Coturnix japonica: one gene and its partners. The protein of the gene in region 1 interacts with the protein of each later gene in a biochemical or structural test. Links are inferred from orthologs where the notes say so. Each region holds a gene or a part of one and is shown in the gene's direction. Other genes may lie near its edges.

The links.
Region 2: the proteins of mitogen-activated protein kinase 12-like (region 1) and DLG1 interact in a test that uses a peptide from one of them, tested with the Homo sapiens proteins (2 studies listed by IntAct, with this or other methods). The link is inferred for Coturnix japonica from reciprocal best matches to the Homo sapiens genes MAPK12 and DLG1.
Region 3: of the proteins of mitogen-activated protein kinase 12-like (region 1) and SNTA1, one has a biochemical effect on the other in vitro, tested with the Homo sapiens proteins (2 studies listed by BioGRID and IntAct, with this or other methods). The link is inferred for Coturnix japonica from reciprocal best matches to the Homo sapiens genes MAPK12 and SNTA1.
Region 4: the proteins of mitogen-activated protein kinase 12-like (region 1) and ERBIN interact in a test that uses a peptide from one of them, tested with the Homo sapiens proteins (2 studies listed by BioGRID and IntAct). The link is inferred for Coturnix japonica from reciprocal best matches to the Homo sapiens genes MAPK12 and ERBIN.
Region 5: of the proteins of mitogen-activated protein kinase 12-like (region 1) and HTRA2, one has a biochemical effect on the other in vitro, tested with the Homo sapiens proteins (2 studies listed by BioGRID and IntAct, with this or other methods). The link is inferred for Coturnix japonica from reciprocal best matches to the Homo sapiens genes MAPK12 and HTRA2.
Region 6: the proteins of mitogen-activated protein kinase 12-like (region 1) and SNTB1 interact in a test that uses a peptide from one of them, tested with the Homo sapiens proteins (2 studies listed by IntAct, with this or other methods). The link is inferred for Coturnix japonica from reciprocal best matches to the Homo sapiens genes MAPK12 and SNTB1.

Annotation. Positions count from the first base shown.
Region 1 is NC_029516.1:18,175,128-18,178,627, reverse strand, and holds part of mitogen-activated protein kinase 12-like, read left to right. Parts: intron 1-621; coding exon 622-701; intron 702-1,557; coding exon 1,558-1,636; intron 1,637-3,276; coding exon 3,277-3,450; intron 3,451-3,500. UniProt on the Homo sapiens protein: Serine/threonine kinase which acts as an essential component of the MAP kinase signal transduction pathway.
Region 2 is NC_029524.1:10,741,798-10,745,297, reverse strand, and holds part of DLG1 (disks large homolog 1), read left to right. Parts: intron 1-1,691; coding exon 1,692-1,848; intron 1,849-2,725; coding exon 2,726-2,828; intron 2,829-3,500. UniProt on the Homo sapiens protein: Essential multidomain scaffolding protein required for normal development. Recruits channels, receptors and signaling molecules to discrete plasma membrane domains in polarized cells.
Region 3 is NC_029535.1:2,063,036-2,067,283, forward strand, and holds the start of SNTA1 (alpha-1-syntrophin), read left to right. Parts: upstream 1-1,448; 5' UTR 1,449-2,179; coding exon 2,180-2,441; intron 2,442-4,143; coding exon 4,144-4,248. UniProt on the Homo sapiens protein: Adapter protein that binds to and probably organizes the subcellular localization of a variety of membrane proteins. May link various receptors to the actin cytoskeleton and the extracellular matrix via the dystrophin glycoprotein complex.
Region 4 is NC_029547.1:14,161,419-14,164,918, reverse strand, and holds part of ERBIN (erbin), read left to right. Parts: intron 1-55; coding exon 56-1,580; intron 1,581-3,500. UniProt on the Homo sapiens protein: Acts as an adapter for the receptor ERBB2, in epithelia. By binding the unphosphorylated 'Tyr-1248' of receptor ERBB2, it may contribute to stabilize this unphosphorylated state.
Region 5 is NW_015439533.1:471,255-475,490, forward strand, and holds the start of HTRA2 (serine protease HTRA2, mitochondrial), read left to right. Parts: upstream 1-1,436; 5' UTR 1,437-1,581; coding exon 1,582-1,919; intron 1,920-2,755; coding exon 2,756-3,224; intron 3,225-3,449; coding exon 3,450-3,482; intron 3,483-3,779; coding exon 3,780-3,888; intron 3,889-4,236. Other genes in the region: AUP1 (ancient ubiquitous protein 1), read right to left, coding at 194-344, 814-951, 1,225-1,274.
Region 6 is NC_029517.1:123,525,465-123,529,577, reverse strand, and holds the start of SNTB1 (beta-1-syntrophin), read left to right. Parts: upstream 1-1,313; 5' UTR 1,314-1,356; coding exon 1,357-1,882; intron 1,883-4,113. UniProt on the Homo sapiens protein: Adapter protein that binds to and probably organizes the subcellular localization of a variety of membrane proteins. May link various receptors to the actin cytoskeleton and the dystrophin glycoprotein complex.

The DNA of each region.
Region 1 (3,500 bases):
ACTTGTACCACATCTGTACATCAGCGAATTAAAACTCATATTACTGAACTTTCTCAATAGAGAGTGGGATTGGGATATCCATTGAATGATGCCTCAAATCATCAGCTAAAAGTTTCACTGACAATACAAAAGGTAAATATTAATATATATACATATGCATTTGTTGTAGCAATAGGTTCCACAACTTCAGCACAGAAAGTTCTGGTGTAGTGTATGAACTTATGAGCATGTGCTAGTCCATTTCAAGCTTTTTGAGGCTTTTGTCCAAAATACCATGTAAATAATACATAGTAGAATATTTTAGATGTGCAGAAAATATTTAGTCATGTCATTTCATTGCTGACAATTTAAGAAAATAGTTAAGATTTGGCCATACTTCAACCTTAGGTGATACTTTGTTGGCCCGAACGCTTGTGACAGACAGCGGAGTGTAGTGCTAAAGAATACAGCAAGAATTCATCACTTGTCCTGTTTACGAGTTCTGTATGTCTGACAGCTCATCTTTTACATGCCTCCTGTTCAGCTGTTGCATTGTTGGTTTTGCTTTATTCTCCAGCAGCAAAGAAACACGTAATTTTTATCCTATGGTGAGAGTCTTTGTTCCTTATTTCTGGCATTCAGATCTGGACCAGCTCACAGAAATCATGAAAGTAACGGGTACTCCAAGTCAAGATTTTGTGCAAAAACTGAAGAGTCAGGAGGTGAGTGTTCTGCTTTGTCAGACTGTGTTGTGTGCGCTGGGCCATTCTCAATTCTTAGACTGCCTGAGATTGTGTGTGTTGGCTGCTGAAATGACCCCTGATAGCACATCTATCACAGTATCACAGTATCACAGTCTTGTGCGAGTTGGAAGGGACCTTAGAGGTCATCGAGTCCAACCCCTGGGATTCGAGCCTCCTGTGTAGCAGAGCGGCACTTCTACCACTTGCGCCACATGGAGGATTCTCTGCCTACTTTGGAGGTTTCACAGCCAGAATAATTACTGGACATTAAGAGGAAACAAAATGATTAGGACACTGAAAAAAACCAATATATTTAAGTACTTTAAATCAGCTGAGCTGATACATTACTTCCTTTGCTGGAAGTGTACTGACAATATGAACCTCTTCAGAGAGCCCATCCATTCTGTGGGTGTCTCTGACTTCCTCTTTCCTATTTTCTTGTGATGTTTTTGAGAATCCTGAAGTCCCTGCTATAAAGAACCTAAAATAAACCATTAGATGAACTGTGCAGATTGAATACTACAGAATTACTGTGAAACATACACTTTTAGAGGCTTCTGTAAATTTCAGTATGGCATTCTTTCAAACGATGAATACATACTTATTCTAATCAGCATATTAGATGTTGATTAGGTATCAGAGCTTTATGTTTAATTTCTTAATCAGAATTGTGAGGTTTGGTTTAAAAGAAACTGTTCCTTTCAACAAGAAGATGAACATAACCAGGCCTTAGAACAAAAAAAAATATCCTTTTGTGCAAGGTACTGTCAAAGCACCAGTAAGGTACCTAGTAAAGGAGGAAAAGTTCTGATTTAATACTCATGTTTCTTTCAAGGCAAAAAACTACATCAAAAGCCTTCCAAAAGTCCAGAAAAAGGATTTTGCATCCGTCTTGAAGCATGCGAGTCCTTTGGGTAAGGCAGTTTGTGTCAATGTGTACAGTCCGTTGTTGTTTTGTTTGCACTGGAGGCAGCAGCAGTGTCAGCATGTGATAAGTTATGTGATGATTCCCATGCTGCTCTGCCTCTTGCTTTCCATAACTCAGAACTTTGATTCTAGTGGCCGAACTGTGCCAAGTTTAGACACTGCCAGGAATCAGATGATTCAAAAGAGTCAAAAAGAAGTATTTTATGCTTTAGGCTCTGATCCAGACCGTGCTTAATGGTTTTACTGAAGCAGCTTTCTCAAGAGCCCTGGGGATTTAAATATATTTAATAAAGGTTTCTGTGCATTGTATTTTAAATATAATTCTGAAAGGTCCTTTTGATGTACAACAGAAATGCAAACAAATAGAAAGCTGACATTTTAGACATGGAATGAATGCGTCCTGAGAAACATCTGTGCATTCCTGCAAAGATCTGGCTTGTATTTGATGGATATAAACAGCTAGAAGAACATACCAAGTGTGCATAACTGTGACATGACCTGAGGCAATAAGTGCTCTGAGATGGCTCTGCCCAGCTTCATCCGTTCCCCAATGACCTGACTCATAAAGCCAGGCTTTCTTAGAATATGAATTAGGACAATTGAATCTTCTGTATTTAAGCAGTTAAAATGGCATATGAAGATACAGTAGGATTATTAACCATGACCGCATGGCTCACTCACTAGCTGTCCCAGCTGCAGAAAACTCTACACATCTCTACTTTATTTCTTCCTGTCACTTCTTTGGCCATCTGGCTGTTCCTTATAAGAAAAACAACTGCTCTTGGTCTGGGAGAGAAGGTTGGAAGGACTTGTTAGGTGCGTGGTTGGACTTAAAGATTTCAGTGTTCTTTTCCAATCGAAATGATTCTATGATGCTATGAAGCCATAATGTGCCAAGCAGGTGTTGTAGCATCTTTTCCCATGCTGCTGTCCCTTCTTCCTTTCTGGTGCTCCACCCAACTCAGAAACTTTCTTACAGGATACTTTTATGAACATAATAGAATCATGTCAGTTTATACTAGTGCCTTTTGATAGTCTCACAGAGGGCCCGATCCAAAATCCACCCGTGAGGAACACTGAAGATGTTCATGGATTTCATGGATTGTCTTGGTGAGGTCAAAACACGTTGCAGATAAAGTTAGTGCTGACATTTAGAGCATGGATGTCTTGGTGAACTTGAAAATGTGCTGCCAATGCTGAGGACATGGATCTAGTCACATAACAAACAATTCTCGATAGCTCTACACCCATCTGCTCATAGTGCCCCTGCCAAGTAATGATGTGCCTCATAACCACAACAAAGTGCTGGCAGTGAGGGCAGACATCTGGGGAGTTCCTACATGCAGTGGACCTGGAGTCAGAAGTTCAGAAGTCAGAGCTGAGGTGATGTGTCTGTATTGCATGTGGAATTTAAGGAGCATCTCTGCATTTCTTGGTACACATCCCAGCTTGTTCACAGCACTCTGTTTTGTTGTGCAGTTGGACCTCACTGGCTGTAGAATGAGCACCCAATGATTCTGCTTTGTAAATCTGTAGGTATCTTTGAAGCATCTTCAATGCAGCATTACTATGTATAAGCTGAAATCGGCGCTTGATTTCAATGCAGTGTTCATTTTCTGTCCCATAGCTGTGAATCTTTTGGAGAACATGCTGGTGCTGGATGCGGAGGAGCGAGTCACGGCAGCTGAGGCTTTGATGCATCCTTACTTTGAAGCAATTCATGATCCTGAGGAAGAAATTGAGGCTGAGAAATATGATGACACATTTGATAACATGGATCTACCCCTGGATGAGTGGAAGCGTGAGTTTAGTTTTGTGATGTTTTAAAGAATAAGCAGCTAGAAAGGCCAT
Region 2 (3,500 bases), on another chromosome or scaffold:
CCAGAGATTATTCATTATCCTAAGGCCAGCAATGTATCTTTTTCAGACAAATGTTTATTTTATTTTGATGGATTAGTAAATCCAGAATGGCTAGAGAGCTCTTAACCCTTCCCATTAACAACCGCTCATTACTTCACCAATTCAGTAGAAGATTAAAGCAGTCTTTTTGTTTATCAGTAAAGCTCATCTTTTCTCTCCTGCAAATTGGGAACATTACACTGCATTTTCAGTATGTTGTTGCTGAAGTCTGTGCCACACTATTTTCTAATATGGGTAATGTCATTCAGTTTCTTAGATGGCATCTGCCCAGATTGAAACGTAAGTGAGATGGTTAAGTTGTAGAATGAGTTTTCGTGTATTAAAAACTGGGAGGGCCTCAGATATGTGTTTTATAGCTTATGGTTATGTAGGCATGTATGTCACATTGATTCTGTCCTTCTGTGATTGTATTATTGAAGTTGTAAGTGTACAGTTTTTTTCCAATTTACTGAGATTTTTAGGCTTCCTTTGAAATGTAAGGGCTATTCAAGGAGGGCTTTATGTGTTCTTGAAATTACCTTCCCTCCCACTGCTTTCATCCCAGAAAGAGGCTTAGATAAGTTGAATAATATGTAAACAGATGTCATGTACTTACGTTCTCTAACTGCAGCTTATCTGTTGATGTGTTATTGTGATCTGGCGCAATATACGTAGGTTTCCACAGTGTCATATGTTTGTAATAAAATAGCACTTAGAAAAGATGAATCTGACATCAGATAGAGGGCAGAATTTAGGAATTTGATGCTGAGTTGATCTAAAAGCTGGTGCAGAAATGGAGAAGTGTAAAAAGCCAGACTAGATTGTATTTTTTGTTTTAGAAAAATGCAGCATCTTCATTTGTCCTATAAACTAATAATTTATGTCTCCAAATATTTAAGAATGTCCGTTAATTGTTCTTTAGTGCTCTCTAGTGATTCTTAACTGTAGTGCACGGTTTCTGTTTTATTATTAGAAGTTTCCTGTGTCTGAAATCATCCATGCTTTTATTCTACTGGATAAAACAGCAGGTTTTTGGATGGCGGGTTTCTGCACTAGGTGTTGACTGGCTGTGCCTATTGAATTAACTCTTTTACCTTCATCAGCATTTCTCCTTTTATTTCCTGATCTGAGCCAGGAAGCCAAGAATGAAATAACTTGCTTTGGATTTAACTTTTTCAGTTAGAATTTCAGCAAATAAATTGCAAATACACATGAGAATGCTACAGTTTCTCTTTGCTATATTTTTCTCATCCAGCTAGAATGGAATTAGAGCAGCAAGGACATGCATTTTGTTATTAACTTCTCCATTAGAATTTAATTGATAAGTTTCAGAAAATAGTGTTTTTATTACTGTTAGATTGTTCCAGGCTCTTGAATGATAAGGAAAGTATTAAATATTGTCATGTAGTGCTGAATAAACAGCATAACAGAGATTTAGAATACCTACATACAAATGGATAGTTCAGTTCACCTAACAACAGGGAGATCTTTTTGCATCTATAAGCAAAATAGAGGGTATACAAATAATAGAAAATATTTGAAAATCTTGCTTGTTAAACATATAATTTTTGGTATGTGAATTTTCAATAGTTTTTAAAACTCGGACAACTTCTAATTATTTAATTTTATTCATGACTTGTGACTAAGCTTTGGCATTCCTTCCTTTCATCCAGGGAGCCTAGAAAGGTTGTCCTGCATCGAGGCTCAACGGGTCTTGGCTTCAACATTGTGGGAGGAGAAGATGGGGAAGGCATTTTCGTGTCTTTCATCCTTGCAGGAGGACCAGCTGACCTCAGTGGAGAACTTAGGAAAGGCGATCGTATAATTTCTGTAGGAGTCCTTGCTTCTTTTATTTAAACACCAGCAACAAAATTTTTTCCCCTACTTTTGGTACTAATGCCGGATAATACAATTTAAATGTAAAGAATATTATTAATTGAGCTGAATTTGAGGCGATGGAACAGTTACCAGTATATTTCTGAAGTACCTTTGCGGATGTTAGGCTGCCTTAGTTTCTCATCTCTACCTCAATGAAAATGGCACTGTTCTATCTCAGATGTTATTCAGAGTTAAAAAGTTGTAAGACTTTAAGTTATTTTACCTGTGTGTCTGAATGGAAAGAATGCAATCTTCATAAACAAGCTTTCTAATGAGATGGAGACATTTAGTGGTTCGCTTCCTGGATTAACTGCAGAACTTCCCATTAGTTTTAATTGTACCCATCTCAAACCTGTCTGAGGACTTTTCCTGTCTTAATACTAGAGGCCATAAAGATCTTGTGTTCAGAATCATAGAATCACTGAGGTTGGAAAAGATCTAAGTGATCGCCCAGTCCAACTGTTCACTTATTACCAATAGCTCTCACTAAGCCATGTCCATGTTTCTTCCTGAAATGACTGAAAGGATCTTTAACAAGAAAATTGACTTAGTGATAATAAATTCATGAAGTGATATACTGTGATTATTTGTCTCTTAACAGATGGTTATATGCAAGAGAGGGTTCACTGCCTTTTGATTTCAGTAAAGATCACTAATTTTCATTTATATTAACTAGCTCATAATGTTGGAAACAGGGAAATCTCACAAGACATGGAAACTTGTTTCTATCCAGTTAACTCTCTTTTTTATTCACGAGTCTGTATTTGTGATGATAATAATAAACACAACCATTTATTTTGATAAAAAGGATTTTTTGTATAATTTGTAGGTAAATGGAGTCGATCTGAAGGCAGCAACCCATGAACAAGCAGCAACAGCTTTGAAGAACGCAGGCCAAGCAGTAACTATTGTGGCTCAGTACCGTCCAGAAGGTAAGATAGTTTCCATACACATTTGAGTTTCACTTCTATAATTTAAAAATCAGATAATCAAAAATGTCTTCCCATGCCATCCCCACATTTAGCCCTTTTGAGTGTAACAGAAACAAATGATGTAATAGATGTTGACACATAACCTGTTAGCATAATTGCAAGTAAGTGTTGGTGCCAAAGCTTGGTATGTTACTTGCTCAGACTGTGTTCAGAATTTTGATTTCTTTTCCAAATGTTAACACTGTCAGGATGTGAAAGTTAAGCCAGTAAATCCACAACCGAGTGGAAATACCACAGCATTACTTATATCCTACTATTGTCTTTACCTTTTAATATGGTGTTTTATTTTCTTTGTCAGTAGGAGGATAAAAAACTAATTCCTACTCTGTTGTGTTGATTCAGATGACCTAGAGAAACCATCAAATTTTCATTCCTCTGTTTCATGCTAAGCTGGTATTTCCATTTATCTAGCAATTTCTTCTAATCTGGATTAGACAGCAGTGGGTGCTGATTAACCATCCTTGTGGACTGCAGAAGCAAAATAATATTGTTCCATCACAATGCAATATTGTCCTCCTGCACTTGTACAGCAAGTTTCAAATGCCTTTGTGTATTTGAGATTTTAACAATTCAGTAATCTAAAATGATGTATTTACATGCAGTCTGCAAGGT
Region 3 (4,248 bases), on another chromosome or scaffold:
GCTGCATCCCCCAGCTCCTGCTTTCCCCACACCTATCTCAGTCCCCAGGTGCTTCTTTTTCCTGTTTCTTTGACAGCACTCATCCAGCCTTGATAACCCATCTGCTGTGCAGCAGCAAAGCGCTTCCACAGCACAGAGCTCAGCTGGTGTGGCTGTCTTATGGGGATCCAGAGAGCAGAACCCAGACTGAGAAGGGAGAAACTCGGCCAGGAGTGACTGTGTCCCAAAGCAAAACATTTTAAAGTCAACTGGAGGAGTCGGAGACTGCACAGTTTGGGCAGACAACACCATTTCACTACATTTCCTGTATACCAGGGGATGAATCACTCGGTTAAGTACATGGTGCACATCTGAATCTCTTTTATTTCCCTGCCCATCCTCTCCAGTGCATTTGCAGCCTCTGATCTGTTTCAGCAAGGCAGGACCTGCTGCCCCATGCTCTCCTGAGGTGCTGCTGTCAGCCTTGGGGATGCCACTTCAGACCCAAACACGAGCTTTTCTTCTGTTTCAGAAGTGATTCATGTAAATTCACGCAGCTAACAGCGCTCTATAAATAGACGGGTGGGCTTTGACACAGCTCCTGTGTGTGCCAAGAGCTGAAGCTAATAATAGCAGCTCACCCACCACGTCCGGGAGCGGGGATGTTCTGCAGGGGGAGGATGGGATGGGCTCAGCCTTGTGACAGAATCACAGTGAAGATATCACCATCCCACGGGCACTGCAGCACCTCTGTGCCATGATGTGGGGCTGCACACATGGCCTTGCTGCCCAGCAGTGTGGCATGGCACAAGGTTTCCCCCTGTGTGGCACTGCTCTGCTTCCCACTGCTGCTTTGCATAGTGCTGCCAGGGCTGGGGAAGCAAACATATCACATATCCCTGGATGGTGCCATCCTGTGGCACTGGGAGCAGTGTCTCTGCTTTCTGACGTGGCTTACAATGAGAATACAGCCTTAATAATCACCTGTGCTGGAAATAGCATTGGAAAGAAAAAAGACTGCGAGTGGCAAGGGGCAAAGTGACCCCAACTGGCAGCAAAAGGACTGAACCCCCTCTGCTATGGGCACAGCAGCTCAGGGTCTGTGGGATGCACAGAGGACTGGGGGGGGGGAGGGGGGGGTGTGATGGGCGTGGGAGCATCACTGTTAGGCAAACCCAAAAAGTCACTCCAATCGAACTGCAGAATTTGGATTGAAAACTGGAATATCTGAGCTGTGCTTTGCAAGGGAAAAACCTTCAGGGTTTCCTCTGCCGCAATCTCAAGAAATTCCACAGCTGCCTCTGCGTGGGGGGAGCGCTGCTGCCTCCGTGTGGGGGTGGGGAGGGCTGCAGCCCCCTGCTCTGCAATACCCCCCCCACCTCCCCTTGTGCGTGAACGGGATTCAATTCCTTTAAGGCTGCGTTTGCAGAGCCTGGGGCTTGGGGACCTGCAGCCCCACCCCAGGGCTCTGGAGCTGCCCGAAGGGGCACAGGGGATGTACCCAGAGGTATTTTTTATCCCTCATTGCTGCCACTCGGTTGCAGGAGGAAATGCGGATCTGCCAAAGGAAACAAACACCGTTCCTGTTTTCAAGAAGCAGGACAGGGAAAGGAAAGAAAAAAAGCAAGACTGTTCTGAATGCCTCCAAAAATCCTCCCTGCTGCTGTCTGCACCCATCTTTGGGGCACCGACGTCGTCGGACGCCAGTGGGAGAGCTCTTGAGGCTGCCCCCCACCGCCCCCAAGAGCTGCCATTGCTTTTCATCATCGCAGTTTTCCTTAATAAGTCCAGAGTTCGCTTCGAGTCACTTCTGGCTCTGCCTGACAGCGCTGCTCGCTTCCACGACAGCAGTTACTCGTGTACCCCGCAGCACGCCCGAAGCTTTCGTGGCACCCGGTTCTCGGCACGGACACCGCTGCGCCCCGACGTGCCCCGCAGGGTCCCCCTGTGACACAACCGCACCGCGGTGCCCGGAGCCGGGAGGGTCCGAGTGAGGGTGTGCAGAGCTCCCCATGCCCCTCCCGGCGCTCCCCGTCCCATACTCGGGCACGGAGCCCCGCAGCGCGGCGCTGCCCCGACGGGGCGGGCGTGGGCCGGGCCGGGGGCGGTGCGCGGGGCTCGTTGCTCCGCCGGGCGGTGCGCGGGGCAGCGCGGAGCGGAGCTGCCGGAGCGGCGGGGCCGGGCCCGGCATGCGCGGAAGATGGCGGCGGGCAGGCGAGGGGCGCGCAGCGGGCTGCTGGAGCTGCGCGGTCCCGGCGGACAGTGGCTTCGCGTCCTGCTCACCCTGAGCGATGACACCCTGAGCGTCAGCCCCGCCGACGGCCCCGGGCCCGGGGAGCCTCCGCCGGCTCAGCTGAACGGAGGGGAGCAGAGCTCCGGCGTGCCCGAGGCGCTCGCCAACATCAGGCGCACGGTGCGCGTCGTCAAACAGGACGTGGGGGGGCTCGGCATCAGCATCAAAGGTGAGGGGGGGGGAGTACCAGGAGTGGGCGGCGGCGGCGGCAGGTAGGACCTACGCTGCCCTGCTGCGACCGGAGGGCTCCGCCCGCGTGTCCTTGCGTCCTGCGTGACCCCGGTGCGGTGTCCCCTCCTGGCCGCCCCAAACGCAGCGCTCTGCCCCGGTCGGGTGTCCCCCGGTGTCCCCCGCCGCCCCCACCCCCGTCCTGGGGACTTTGCGGGAACTTCGGGCCGGGAACTTCGCGAGGGGGGGTGCGGGGGGCTGCCGCTGTCTGACGTGGCCGCATTGGGCTCAGCCTTCACCGCGCTCCTTGCCGGGCGCTGCTGGGTGGGGCGGTGTGTCGGGTGCGGGTCCCCGTGAGGGGTCCGGGGTGAGCCCTCACCGCTTGTTGGGGCTGTGGGTGCTGCAGCTCGGCAGCGCTTTTGGGAGGTGCAATCCCCCCTTGTAACCAACCCCGGGCTGCGAAGCGCTGCCGGCTCTGCGGCTCTCCCAGGAAAGGAGAAACGTTACTTGCTTCAGCTAAACTTTATTTTTGCAGTGACGTAGGTGGAAACCAAGGAGCCGTGATCCAAACGGGGAGCTGCAGGCGGGCGGGCAGCACTTGGGCTGCCTTGTGCCTCTGCTGCTTTGCAGGGGGGTGACCATGTGCCATTAAACGCAGCCAAACCTTGCTGTCCCTGCAGGGGGTGGGGGCATGGAGGGACGGGTACCCCGCTGCCAGCCAGCTCCTGTCCATGGCCCGTGGGACAGAATCTAAAATGGACCTTCTGGTTAAAGCATTTCAGCTGCATCCTAACCCCAGACAGTACTTCACTTGGGGTTTCTGGTGCTTCATGCAGCCCTGCAGGGTTAGGGTTAGCATCGTTAGGGTTAGGGTTAGGATCCTTCTCCTGCAGGGTCGTGTACCGCATGGTGCTCCGGGCGGTGGTTCCCTCTCCACGCACACAGCCCAGAATGGGTGGTTGCGAGGCGTTGCTTCCAAGCTGGGCTCGGCAGCCAGCAGCAGCCCCCGCGGGGGCCTCTTGACAGCTGATAGCCGGAGGAGCCCTCAGCTCCCGGAGAGGCTCTGCAGAAATCCGAGCGGAGCAATGCTGGCGGCACAGCGGGTGCAGCCCTGGGAGGTGTCACGCTGCCGGTCCCTGCCCGTGGGAGGGGGGTAGGGGGGAGTGAGGGGGTGCCCGGCACACGCTGTCCCAGCGCTGAGCGTGGGCAGCGCCAGGCGGGGCTGCTGGCATCTCCTACAGGTTCAGAACTTAAAGTGCAAATTGATCTCCTTGAGCTGCCCGGAGGCCTTGAGAGTGTCCTGGTGGGCTGAAGAGTGGGGAGCAGCCCGAATGGAGACAGAGAGGAGTGGGGAGCAGGTAGTCCTGCGGCTGAGCTGCTGCTCTGGGGCTCTTTTGCCTCTCCAGCACTCAGCTGCTGCCCCACTGAGACCGTGGGGTCCTGAGAGCAGGGAAGGCTGCTCAGCACACACAGTTAATAATGCAAATAGTGACACAGTTTCCTGCCAGAAGTGATGGGGAGGCGGTCAGGGCGTGTGTTTGTTCAGCAAGGAAATCTGCAGCCACTCGGATGGTTTTTTGAAGCACTTAACATGTGTCTGCCATAAAGCTCTGAGGTATTTGGGCACTGTGTGGGCACTGAGCAGCCCTGTGCCCCTAATTGCTCAGTGTCCCCTCACTGCTTGGTGCCCCTTCTGCCCGCAGGTGGCCGGGAGAACAAGATGCCCATCCTCATCTCCAAGATCTTCAAGGGACTGGCAGCAGACCAGACCGAGGCACTGTATGTGGGAGATGCCATCCTGTCCGTGA
Region 4 (3,500 bases), on another chromosome or scaffold:
AAGGAATATCTTGAGTCCCTTTGGAATATTGCTTACAGGTTATCTTTTCTTGCAGGCGAGAAAATGAAAATTTGAATAATCTTTTGCAAAACGGAGGTGAATTGAACATTACTGCAGAAGAAAACACAAATGTGCAGGAGAAAGTTACAAATCTGTCTCAATATGAACTGAGCATTGAAGAAAGAATAGGTCTGATAGAAAAAGGTGTGGATCTGAGTACTCCTACAGAGGAGACTCACAAGTTAGACCAAATAAACATGAATATCAATAAACTGGTTAGTGAAGAGGCAGTGCCAGTTCCCACAGAAAGAGTGAAACCACAGGAAGTAGTGTCAGTAAAGGGCTTTATGAATAATATTATGAAAGAAGAAGGTGAGCACTTGGAAAATGGGAATAAGTATCCTATAAATAAAGTAAATGGACATCCTGAGGAATCAGTACAGTCTCCCAGTAAAGATGAACTAATGAGAAGCACTACAGTTGATGGTGACTCTTCCACTGAGCTGTCTGTTTCACGGAGCACTGAAGATCTGTCGCCACAGAGAAGTGGAACTGTGATGAAGTCTCACAGCATCACCAGTATGGACCCTGGTGGCCTGAAAGTCTATGACATTGTCAGTGATGGTGTATCTCCACAGCCAAACTCAGTGGTAAAATCTTCATCTGGTAGTGCAGATGGAAAGAACATAGTCAGGAGTAAATCTGCTACTCTTCTGTATGATCAGCCTCTGCAGGTTTTTCCTGGGTCATCATCATCATCTGATTTAATATCATCTACAAAAACTCCATTCAAGTTGGACTCAAATCACAATCCTGAAGGTGCTAATGTAGTGAGAGGATCAGTGACAGGTGGTCCACAGATGTTTTCTACTCCCCAGTATAATATTCAGTACAGCAGCAGTACAACAGCAAAAGACACCTTGTGGCCCCAGAAACAAAGCACTCAAGTAGAACAGAGCAGCTTACCTCCTTCACGTCTGCTGAGGTCTGAAAGCACAGAAGCACCCAGCTATGTAAAACATTCTGCCAATATGAATTTCTCCAATCACAACAATGTCCGTGCCACTGCTGCATATAGCACTCATCAGCGAATGTCTGGTAGACATATAGACATGTGGGCTGTTCCACCAAACGATAGACTGCTCCCTGGAGCAACAAGGCACACTCTTCAAAGACAGAGCAGTGTATCCTCTACTGCTTCTGTAAATGTTGGTGATGCTGGACCTTCAAGGCGGGCCCAGGTTCCTGAAGGGGATTATTTGACATACAGAGATTTGCATTCAATGGGAAGAGCTCCACCAGTAATGTCAGGGCAGCAGAGACCTCTTTCTGCCAGGACATACAGCATTGATGGTCCCAATGTACCTCGACCACAGAGTGCTCGTCCGTCAGTGAATGAAATACCAGAAAGAACTATGTCAGTTAGTGACTTTAATTACTCTCGGACTAGCCCTTCAAAGAGATCAAATCCAAGAGTTAACTCTGAGCACTCTTTGTTAGACCCTACAGGAAAAAGTAAAGTCCCTCATGACTGGAGGGAACAGGTGCTGCGACATATTGAGGCTAAAAAGCTAGAAAAGGTAAAAATAATTTTATTCTTTCTACTTTTCTGTAATCTAGGCATGGTGTAAGTTAATTACCTATTTTTTGAGCAGTTTTCAATTACCAGTTAAACTATATTTCTGTACTACTACTTCTTCTAAAACGTAAACATGTTTATGCTGAGTATCTGAAAAACTGTCTGTAAGTGAAATTTTTCCCTTTTACATCGTACTTGCCAGCTTGGTCCAATTACCTTTGAATACATTAAATGTCCTGTTGACCTTCTGGACTGCAAGTCCAGCTCTGTTAGGTCAGGTAATTGTTGTTAACATGGCATTGTCTTCATGTTACACTATCCGGTTACCTTTCTTGAGCTTTCTCTTCTGCATTTTTTCAGTATTTCTTCAGGAACAAGAAAAAAAAAATCAATAAAATGCATTTTGTAGCATAGGTCTACAGCTTGTGATGCTGAGGAGCTGAAAAGATGTATAATTAACATTTATTTGCCTCCAAGCCAGTTATCTTTTGAAGCTGGATATTTGACAGACTGTTGAATGAATATTTATAACTGAGATGAGAGCACATAAAAATCTTGTTCATTTCAGGAAATCACAGGAGATTTTGATATAACTAGAGATGATGAACGGGATTCTTTTTGTACCTTAGTGCCTTATCAAAAATTTGAGCTGATATGGAGATGTGAACAGTTTTGCATCTTCAAAGGAATTGAGTAGAGACTGGAAGAATGTAATATGCTGTGCTGCCCAGGAGAGCCACTGTAAAATCGCATCACTAAGTATTGGCCAGGATATCATCAGGTTGATTCTGCTTCCTGGGAAGGGAAGTGAATTTGGTTTTGTTTAATTTGCATAATTCCTAATTATAAAAAAAGATCAGCACCACAGCTGTTCTTGTGATCCATTTTGAGTCGCATAGAACAAGATATTTTATGCAAAGTATTATGCTGAGGTGTGGTGGAGCCTTTGTCCTACAAGGCTGTCACAGACCTCACAGTGTTCCAGTCCTAATCAAAGGTGCATATTCTAGTCTTATTCCCCTGGATGCATCTATCTAATCTTAAACCAAACAATGGAAAAGGAAAAAAAATGTGCAGTGTTTGAGCGTAGAGGGAAACTTTGTTGTGCTGCTAAAGCTATTTGGTTTTACTTCACTCTTGCACTATGTTCCACATGTTAGGAATGGTGTTTAACACGTGGTTGAAAACTATCCAGGTATCACAAGCACTAAATAGTCACCTTTACTGAAAGCAGACTGATTGACTTAATACCCTTTATATCTGCTCATATTTTTTCTTCCATGCTCTTGATGTAAGCCTTCATTACTGTTTCTTACTAGAAGGATATGGACTGGTTGCTCCTGGGTTCTTAGCTGTACACCTATCTAACATATATTAGTAGTGTGCCTTTTGTGTGCATGCTTCTTTTATTCTGGCCTTAATGCATTTTGAAGATTTTACTTAGCACTCTAAGACTTATGAGTTTAAAGGTGAATACTCATATAATTGTCTACTTTATATTTTCTGGGATAGGATTGACTTCTAAAAAAAATAATGAAAATTAAACTATGAGAAACGCAGATACGATCCTGTGTGGCAGCTGGCAAATATGATAATGTAGAAATTGTAGAAATTTACTGGATATTTCTTTGTTCTTTTAAAATAACGGTATCAGGTGTGTTTAAACTTAAAATGCATTTCTAATATGGGAGCTTAATCTACAGAACAGACTTATGAAGTGTTTTGAAGACTAGAAAAAAATATCAGTATTTGAGGAAGAGAGTACTTGATTTAAAGAGCAAACATGTATTGGAAATTGCTGTGACAAAATTCTTTTAAAGCGTAAGACAGCACTGATAAATCAAGTATGCAGATTTAAGCGCTATGATGAATCTTTAATTAATATCCTTGTGCCTGTATCTGTACACAACAATATGGGTTA
Region 5 (4,236 bases), on another chromosome or scaffold:
TTACCTCTCACCTTCAGCTTTTCACACAAGCATGAAACTGAACCACAGAAAAAAATACTTCAGGCTTGCACAATCCAAGGTTAATAAATAAGAACCGAGAACATTCAGAGCAACATCTAAAGTCTGAAATAGCCGAGTGTGTGCTTGGAAAGGCCCTTACAGCCCCGCCGTGCCCCAGCCGGGCGGTACTCACCGTGTTGCAGGAGGTCAGCAGGTTGATGACATTGTGATCAAAGTGTGTGACGTGGTTGGCAATGTAAACCTGCACCGCAGCGTCACGGAGACGGGGACCGCTCTGCTGCACAAACAGCCCCAGCACTGAGCACATCACACGGACAATAAGGCTAAAGGAGGGAAAAAGGGCTCCCTCAGATGTGCAGTCTGAGCCACAGCTGCCTCAGAGAGCCGAGAAAACAGGAACCCGGGACTGGGGTTGGGAAAAGATATCGGTACGAAATGGGAATGACACGACAGACTGGAAGTGTTTGTGGGCCGCAGCTGAGAGCGGCCTGCAGGGCTGCCACCGCAGCAGGAAACACGGGGCAGGGGGCACCGGGCCCAGAGCTGACAACAGCGACAACAGCACCAATAGAACCAACAACACCAACAGCACCAATAGAACCAACAGCACCAACAGCCCCGTGTGTTTCCGATCGGAGCCGGGCGCAGCCCACAGCCCCGGCCCCTTCCAACAGAGCCGTTCCGTGACCGCAGGGCGCACAACGGCCCCGGAGCTGCCCGGGACCCCCCGCGGTAACGGCGGCCCGTCCGTAGGGCCCGGGATGAGCGGAGCCCGCCCGTCCCCGCACGCACCGTCGCAGCGTCCCGTCGGGCAGGATGCAGCTGACCAGGAAGACGTGCACCCCGATGAACAGCCGCAGCACGAGCAGACACAGCCCCACGGGAGCGTACAGCAGCAGCGCCAGCAGCACGAGCCCGTCACTGGGAAACCTGCGGGAGGACAACGGCAACGGTGGGCGGGGGGTCGGGATGGACGGGGGGGGTCGGGATGGACGGGGGGGGTCGGGATGGACGGGGGGGGGTCGGGGCGGCCGCTCAGCCCCACGCTCAGCCCCCAGCCCCCGCCCGGCCGCTCAGCCCCACGCTCAGCCCCCAGCCCCCGCCCGGCCCGGTTCCTCCCGCCCACTCCCGGGACGCCCCGTCCCGCCCCGCGGGGTCCCCCCGGCGGCTCCGGACGTTGCGGGCCCGGCGCCCGGCTCTCACCGCTGCGAGTCGAAGAGCCGCTCCGGGCCCGGCGCCGCGCTGCGCTCCATGCCGCGCTCCGTCCGTCCCGTCCCGCTCAACACCCCGCTCCACCCGCCGCCATCTTCCGCCGCCCGCCCGCACCGCGCGGGGCGCTCTGGGAGGAGCGCGGCCTTCCCGGCGTGCCCCGCGCCGCCGCCCTGAGCTCACGAGCGCGGCCTGGTCCGCCCGCGGGCGCGGCGCCGGCAGCGGCAGGAGCGGGAGGAGCGGGAGGAGCGGCGGCACCGGCGGCACCGGCGGCACCGACCAGCCCGACCCAGCCGCGCGTCCCGCTCCTGCTCAGCGCGCAGTTCCCGTCCTGCCCCGCGTTCCGGCGCTATGGCGGCGCTGTGCCGGTGGCTGCGCGCTCCGCCGGTCGCCACGCGCTGGGGCCGCGCGATGTGCGTGTCCGCCGCCAACCCCCGCCCGCCGCCGCCGCCCCCGCCGTCCTGCCCCGCCCCCCCCGGCGGACACCGGCTGCTGGCCGCCGCTCTGGGCGCCGGGACGGCGGCGCTGCTGCTGCTGTGGTGCCGGGAAGGCCGCCGTCCCGCGCTGCTCGCCGCCGTGCCCGCCCCGCCCGCCCCGCCGCCCGGTTCGCCCCGCGCCGCCTTCAACTTCATCGCCGACGTCGTGGAGAAGACGGCGCCCGCCCTGGTCTACGTGGAGATCGTGGGCAGGTACGGACGGCACCGCCCGGCACCACCCGCTGCCGCGCGGCCGGCCTGACTTACGGTCACCCTGCCCTATGGTCACCCTGCCTTATAGTCACCCTGCCTTATTGTCACCCTGCATTACGGTCACCCTGCCTTATGACCGGCCTCAGTGTCACCTGCATGGGCACTGCAGGCGCTGCTGGGAGCCCTCAGTTTACAATAGATGGTACCATGTTACTGTGGGCCTGGAAGTGTTTTCCTGCAGCGTTTGCCCCAGGCCGTTCCCAAAGGCAGAGGGTGAAACTGGCCGGTACTTGGGCCCCGGTGTCCTCACGTCCCCGTTGTCACGTTGCTTTGATGCCTTTTTTCATCAATTTAGAGCCCCCCTGAGCCACTCTGACTGTTTGAAGGTCACAAATAGACTCACAGGGACACCAGCTCACCCCGTGTGGCCCTCACAGCAAAGCTCTGTGTTCAGGTTGTGTCTTTCCATAACCTGAACTGCTTATCTGTCCCAAAGACACCAATGTCCACCGCAGCTCTTTGTTAGTGTGTGCTTCCCACTGCACCTCTGTGGTCCTCATGGGGAGACGCTTTTGCCATTCCCATGGATTTCTGGTTCCTGCTGCTTGCTGCCCCATAGCGCACACAGTTGTGCAGACTCTTGGGATGGACACCCAGCGCGGGGCTGTGAAGGAGCTCCCATGTCCTGCTGTCATCCGGGCATCTCCTCACAGTCTCCCGCTGCCGTCCAGCCCACCATGCTGAGCCATGCAGCTGCCCGCTGGCCTGGCCTCACACATACCCACTGGTCCCCTCTGGGCCCCCATGTCCTCCCATGACCTTTGCCCACCTTGCAGGCACCCATTCTCAGGCCGTGAGGTGCCCATCTCGAACGGTTCGGGGTTCGTGGTGTCTCCTGATGGGCTCATTGTGACCAACGCTCACGTGGTGGCCAACCGGCGCCGTGTGCGGGTGAAGCTGGCCAGCGGGGAGCAGTACGACGCTGTGGTGCAGGACGTGGACCAGGTCGCAGACATTGCCACCATCCGGATCAAGCCTAAGGTGCGGGGCACTTTGCCCAGGGGCTCCCTTCCTCTCCCGCCTTCTGCTTACCCGGTTCCTCTCTTCCAGCACCCGCTGCCCACGTTGCCCCTCGGCCGCTCCTCTGAGGTGCGGCAGGGAGAGTTCGTGGTGGCCATGGGCAGCCCCTTCGCCTTGCAGAACACCATCACGTCCGGCATTGTCAGCTCCGCGCAGCGCGGCAGCCGGGAGCTGGGCCTGACCGCCTCCGACATGGAGTACATCCAGACGGACGCCGCTATCGACGTAAGGGCGCAGGCTGGGCTGGAGCTTCGTCCCGCTGCCTGCTCTGGGGAAGGGCTCTGTGTGCTGTGAGGTCTGGGCACAGCAGGCTGGGAGGAGGGTGCTCCTGGTTGGTGATCTGGCTGTTTCTCAGCCTGAGCCCTGTTCCCTGGGCTCTGCCTGCTCACTGTGGGGTAGTGTTTGAGGTTTGCTTTTGTGGCCTCATTGCTGCTCTCTCTGTTGTTCCAGTTTGGGAACTCTGGTGGTCCCCTCGTCAACTTGGTAAGTTCTCCTGCATGTATCCCAGTGGGCCTTTTCTCCTGGGGCTGTGTGCCCTCAGTGGGAGCACTGTGCAAGTATCCTCAGCTGTCAGGAGGGAAGGAGGAACTGTGTGCTCTCGGCATCTTAAAGGGTGGGATCAAGGAATTAGCGTGGGGTGAGAGCTCTGCTTGGTGGGACTCATCCCTGCCCGGCCTCAGCAGGGTCAGACTGCCCAGGGGGGGACGGTGCGCAGGCTTTAAGTTTTGCACAGCTCCATAAAGGTGCAGGTTGGAGAACACGTTGCCCTTTTCCATGCAGGATGGCGAAGTGATTGGGGTGAACACTATGAAGGTGACATCAGGCATCTCCTTTGCCATCCCCTCAGACCGGCTGCGGAAGTTCCTGCAGAAGGAGGAGCAGCGCAAAAGTGAGTTGGATGCCTCTCTGCTCGGGTGGGAAGGAGGCCAGAAGGAGGGTGATGACAGAGGGAAGAAGCTGTGGCATAGCTGACATAACAAGACATGGGCATGTGGGCAGACATAACAAGAGGAAGAACCTTTGGAGAATAGGAAGATTCTCCCATTGGGCATGAGGCAGTGAACCCCTCTGCCATGGCAGATCCATTTGCTCATCTGCCACAGATAAAGACTTCCAGAGTTTCCAAGAACTCTGCCTTGTTTTTGTTCCTTGGGGTTTGTGATAATTTGTTTAGTGCAGATTCTTGCTGTCTGGTTCTCACATTGACATCATGATATTTGCTTGGTATTCTCAAGCA
Region 6 (4,113 bases), on another chromosome or scaffold:
TGCTGCCTGCTGGAGGCAAGGGAATGCATTTTGTGTAACCCTTTCCCCCCTTAAAGCACTGCTCCTGTGTAGAATCACAGAATCATTATGGTTGAAAAAGATGATCTAAGCTGACCATCAACCCATCACCACCACACCCACTAAGCTTTCAGTGCCACGTTTCTTCAACACCTGCAGGGACAGTGACTCCAGCACCTCCCTGAGCAGCCTGTGCCAACACCTCACCACTCTTTCAGAGAATAAACTTTTCTGAATATCCAATGTGAATCTCCCGTGGCTCGACTTGAGGCCGTTCCCTCTCTCACTTGGCACATGCCAAGTGCTCCTGAACTGCTGTAGTTTTCAGCCCAGCTGACAAGGAGTTGGAGCCATCCTGGATGGAGGGGAAACTGAGGTGTTCTCAATGGCTGCAGTGACACTGCTTCAGAGCAGCACACCCAGACTGGCTGATGACACCTCAAAGCTGCCAGGGTGACCTTTTTGGTCCACTTTCACAACTGAGTTGGGGACTCAGGCTACTCATCAGGCACCAGATTGCATCCTAGGAGGAGAGAGAGCACGGGAAAGACTGCAGAACTGGACTTCACGGGGCTTAAAACGTAGCAAACAAAGGACAAAGTTTAAAAATTTGCAAAAGGGTTCATGAAAATCATTTACCATCTTCATCCACCGAAGCAGCGAAGCAAGTTTGATTGCCCAACTGAAGTAGTCTAACTCTGTACCAACTATTTGTGTTAATCCGTTTATTTACGAGAAGCAACTGAGAAAAATAAACTTGTATTTTTTGCCAAAGCTTCTCTGCCGATAGCACTATTACTCTCCTCTATCCCACTGCTTTCATTCCCCTCGCTGCTACACAACGGAGAGGCAAAAGGTGGGAGGGGATGGAGGGGTTGACACCACTGCTCTCAGTGGATCCCTTCGGTGGTAAACGCGCTCAGCTCGAAGGGACGCTCATGAGTGCAAAGTCATAGGATAACGCACGCTTCTCCTCCGCACAAGCCGGGAGCCCCCGCCCCGCTCTCGGCGGCTTTCAGCCCAAGTCGAGCCTTCTGACGGCGACGGCGGGACGCGGAAGGTCCGCCGCTCACCCTGCGCTGCCCATCCAGCGGAGCTGGGAGTGCGGAGCTCGCGGAGCTCCCGGACCCTCCGACCGCACGCTCTCCCGCACGGAGTCGCGCTCCGCGGGCGGTGCCGCCAGGTGCGCCCGCCCAGGCACGGCCCCGGGGGGGCGGCCGCGGCACCTCGCCCCACCCCGCCGCGCCGGGAGCTCACCGCCCCCGGCTGAAGTCCGGTACCGCCGCTCCGTGCCGTGCCGGGGGTGCCGTCACTCGGCGCTTCCAGCATGCTCCTAAGATGGCGGTAGCGGCGGCGGGCGGCGGCGGCGGGGGCGGCCGGGCGCAGCGCAGCGGCTGGCTGGAAGTTTTGGTGCGGGAGCGCTGGCACAAAGTGCTGGCCAACTTGGGCGGCGAGGCGCTGGTGCTGAGCGGAGAGGAGCGCCCCGACGGCGCGGCCCACAACGGGCTGGGAAGCGATGGGGCGGCGTGCCGCGGAGCCGAGGGCGGCGGCGGGGGCTCGGCGGTGCGCACCGCCTTCACCGACCCCCCCGAGCAGGTGCCCGAAGCCGTCTCCAACAAGAAGCGCTGCGTGAAGGTGCTGAAGCAGGAGCTGGGCGGGTTGGGCATCAGCATCAAGGGAGGCAAGGAGAACAAGATGCCCATCCTCATCAGCAAGATCTTCAAGGGGCTGGCGGCCGACCAGACCCAGGCCCTCTACGTGGGCGATGCCATCCTGGCCGTCAACGGCACCGACCTGCGGGATGCCACCCACGACGAGGCGGTGCAGGCACTCAAGCGGGCCGGCAAGGAGGTGCTGCTGGAAGGTACGGGGCTGCCGGCGGAGGGGGGTGCGGGACCGCTCCGTGCGCCTCGCTCCGGTCGCCCTTTCGGTAGGGAACCCCGACGGCGCGGGGACGGAGCCTCACGGATGGCACCGCGCGGCTGTCGGGGCTCCGCAGAGCGGCCAGAGTCGGGGCTCTGCCGTCCGATGCGCGACCAAACTGCGGAGCCCCGACAGTCGGCGGCTGAACCGGGCCTTGGCGGGGGGAGTGGGCTCTGAGGAAGCTGTTGGTACCTCCTGACACAGAAACCATCCCCACAAATGTTTTGTGTCTGGGAATGACTGAGTTTGGTAAGAAGCAGCTTTAGAAACGGAGTCTGGAGCATGGTGTGTATATGTGTTGTATGGGAGTTGTCCATGAAACAACTGTTGGCAAGGGCTGAGCAGAGGCAGAATAACTCCCCAGGACACCATGCTCATAAGGAGGGAGGCAATCATGGACGTGCAGTCCTTGTGTTCTTCCCGGGATTTGTGTGGTTGCTGGACCTGAGAGAATGAACAGCTTGAGCAGTGCCCTTGGCATATGTTTGATAAAGTGATTGCACCTTAGCCCAGAAGTTCATTTAACCAGAGGTCATTGGCATTTTTAGTGTGCTACTGTGCCATCCCCATGCCTTCCTCCAAGCCCTGGGTGCCCCTACCTTGGTATCCCAGCAGCGCATTAGGTAACCTTCAAACACAGTTCTTCACATGTCTCTTTTATGTTCTAAGAAGCAGAGGAAGTGCTGCTGCCAGTTCAGGGATACACATGAGCATCAGCTGCAAACAACTGACTGTGGCACAAAGTTATGGGAAAAGCTTTAAGAAGTGGTTCTGTGCAGTAAAGGTGGGGGAGGTGAGAAAATTTAATCTGTGGTTTTGGCTGCTGAGAAACTGCTCAGTGCCATCCACACTGCAGTGAAACCTGTGCGGGGATTGCTGTGAGGCTTTAACAAGCTGAGGGCCACCACGTGCCCTGTGCTCCCATGACCAAACCATGTCTCCTCCCTGTTAACTGCATGCAAAGATTCCTGTGAAGTCCTAATGTAAACTCACTGAGGTCTGAATGGAGCGGTGATGTCGGAATTGTGCCACTGGTTTGTTTGCACAGTGCGGGGCTCCCGGGGTGCAGGCCAGCAGCAGCTGACCTGTGCTGTGATCTAATGAGGAGCGCACAGCACGCTGCCTGTGGAAACAGCACCTGACTGTGCTGCTGCTGCATAAGCCTGCTAAAAAACTCTGAGTTGTTCCTGGTAGGAGCACACTTGAAGCTGTTTGAGCAGGGACGACTCCTCTTTGCTCCATTGGCCTCTGCAGCTGTTTTCTTGCATTTCTTTGCTCCGTGGAGGTGTAGGCTGATGTGCTTCAGTGCTTGTTCCCGCAGTGGAATTTGTAAGTTGTAAACTGAGAGTCTCTTTCAGTAGTCCTCCCTTTAGATGTTTAAAATACTCCAGTGCTGAAAGCAGTATTTGTCTTGGTTTTCTTCTGCAGTTTTAGCAGAATATCTAAATACAGGATTGTCTCCGGCGTGTCCCCAGGAGGTGCTGCTCTGTGCAGCTAGGGTTGGACTCAGTGATCTGTAGGGGTCCCTTCCAATTTAGGATTCTGTGAACCTCTGCTTGAGTGGCTTGTGTAAGCCAAGGATTCAGTTTCCCACTTCAGAGACCTTTCTCCAGTAGCACAGCCTAAAATGGTCTTTTTACTATAAAGGGAAGGAATAGCCAGAAGATTTTTTCCCCTTTGAAGTACGGGAGGGAAGAGCGTTGCTTTTCCTCACCTCCCAGACAAGAGGAACGTGCTGCTTCCCGACTTCTTGGAAAGCTGTGCATTACAAGGAGCACCCTGAGCTGGGGTGAATCCCTGCACAGTTCCTCTCTGGGCTGTTGCTCTGGTTAGCAGGGCACTGCCATTGTGTATTACCAAAATATAACATGCATGTTTTCAAGGAGATTCAGAGGCTTGTGTCTCACAGAGCAGAAAAGCTGACTTGGGCTTAAAGAATTTGAAAAGGCACCATGAGGTGCTACACATGAGGGACAGATGTTAGGGTGTGAGGGGGAGATTGCAGTGTTACCCAAGGTGTTGTGATCTCCAGGAAAGGGTTTATGGGTTTTGTGCATGCTGAAGTGGTCAGCTCTGAGGCTGTGGCTCAGCGCACCCGACGTCATGGCTTTGCATCCTTCTAAAACTGCTTGCTCAGTGAAACGAGGTATTTACCAGCTCAGCACTAAACTG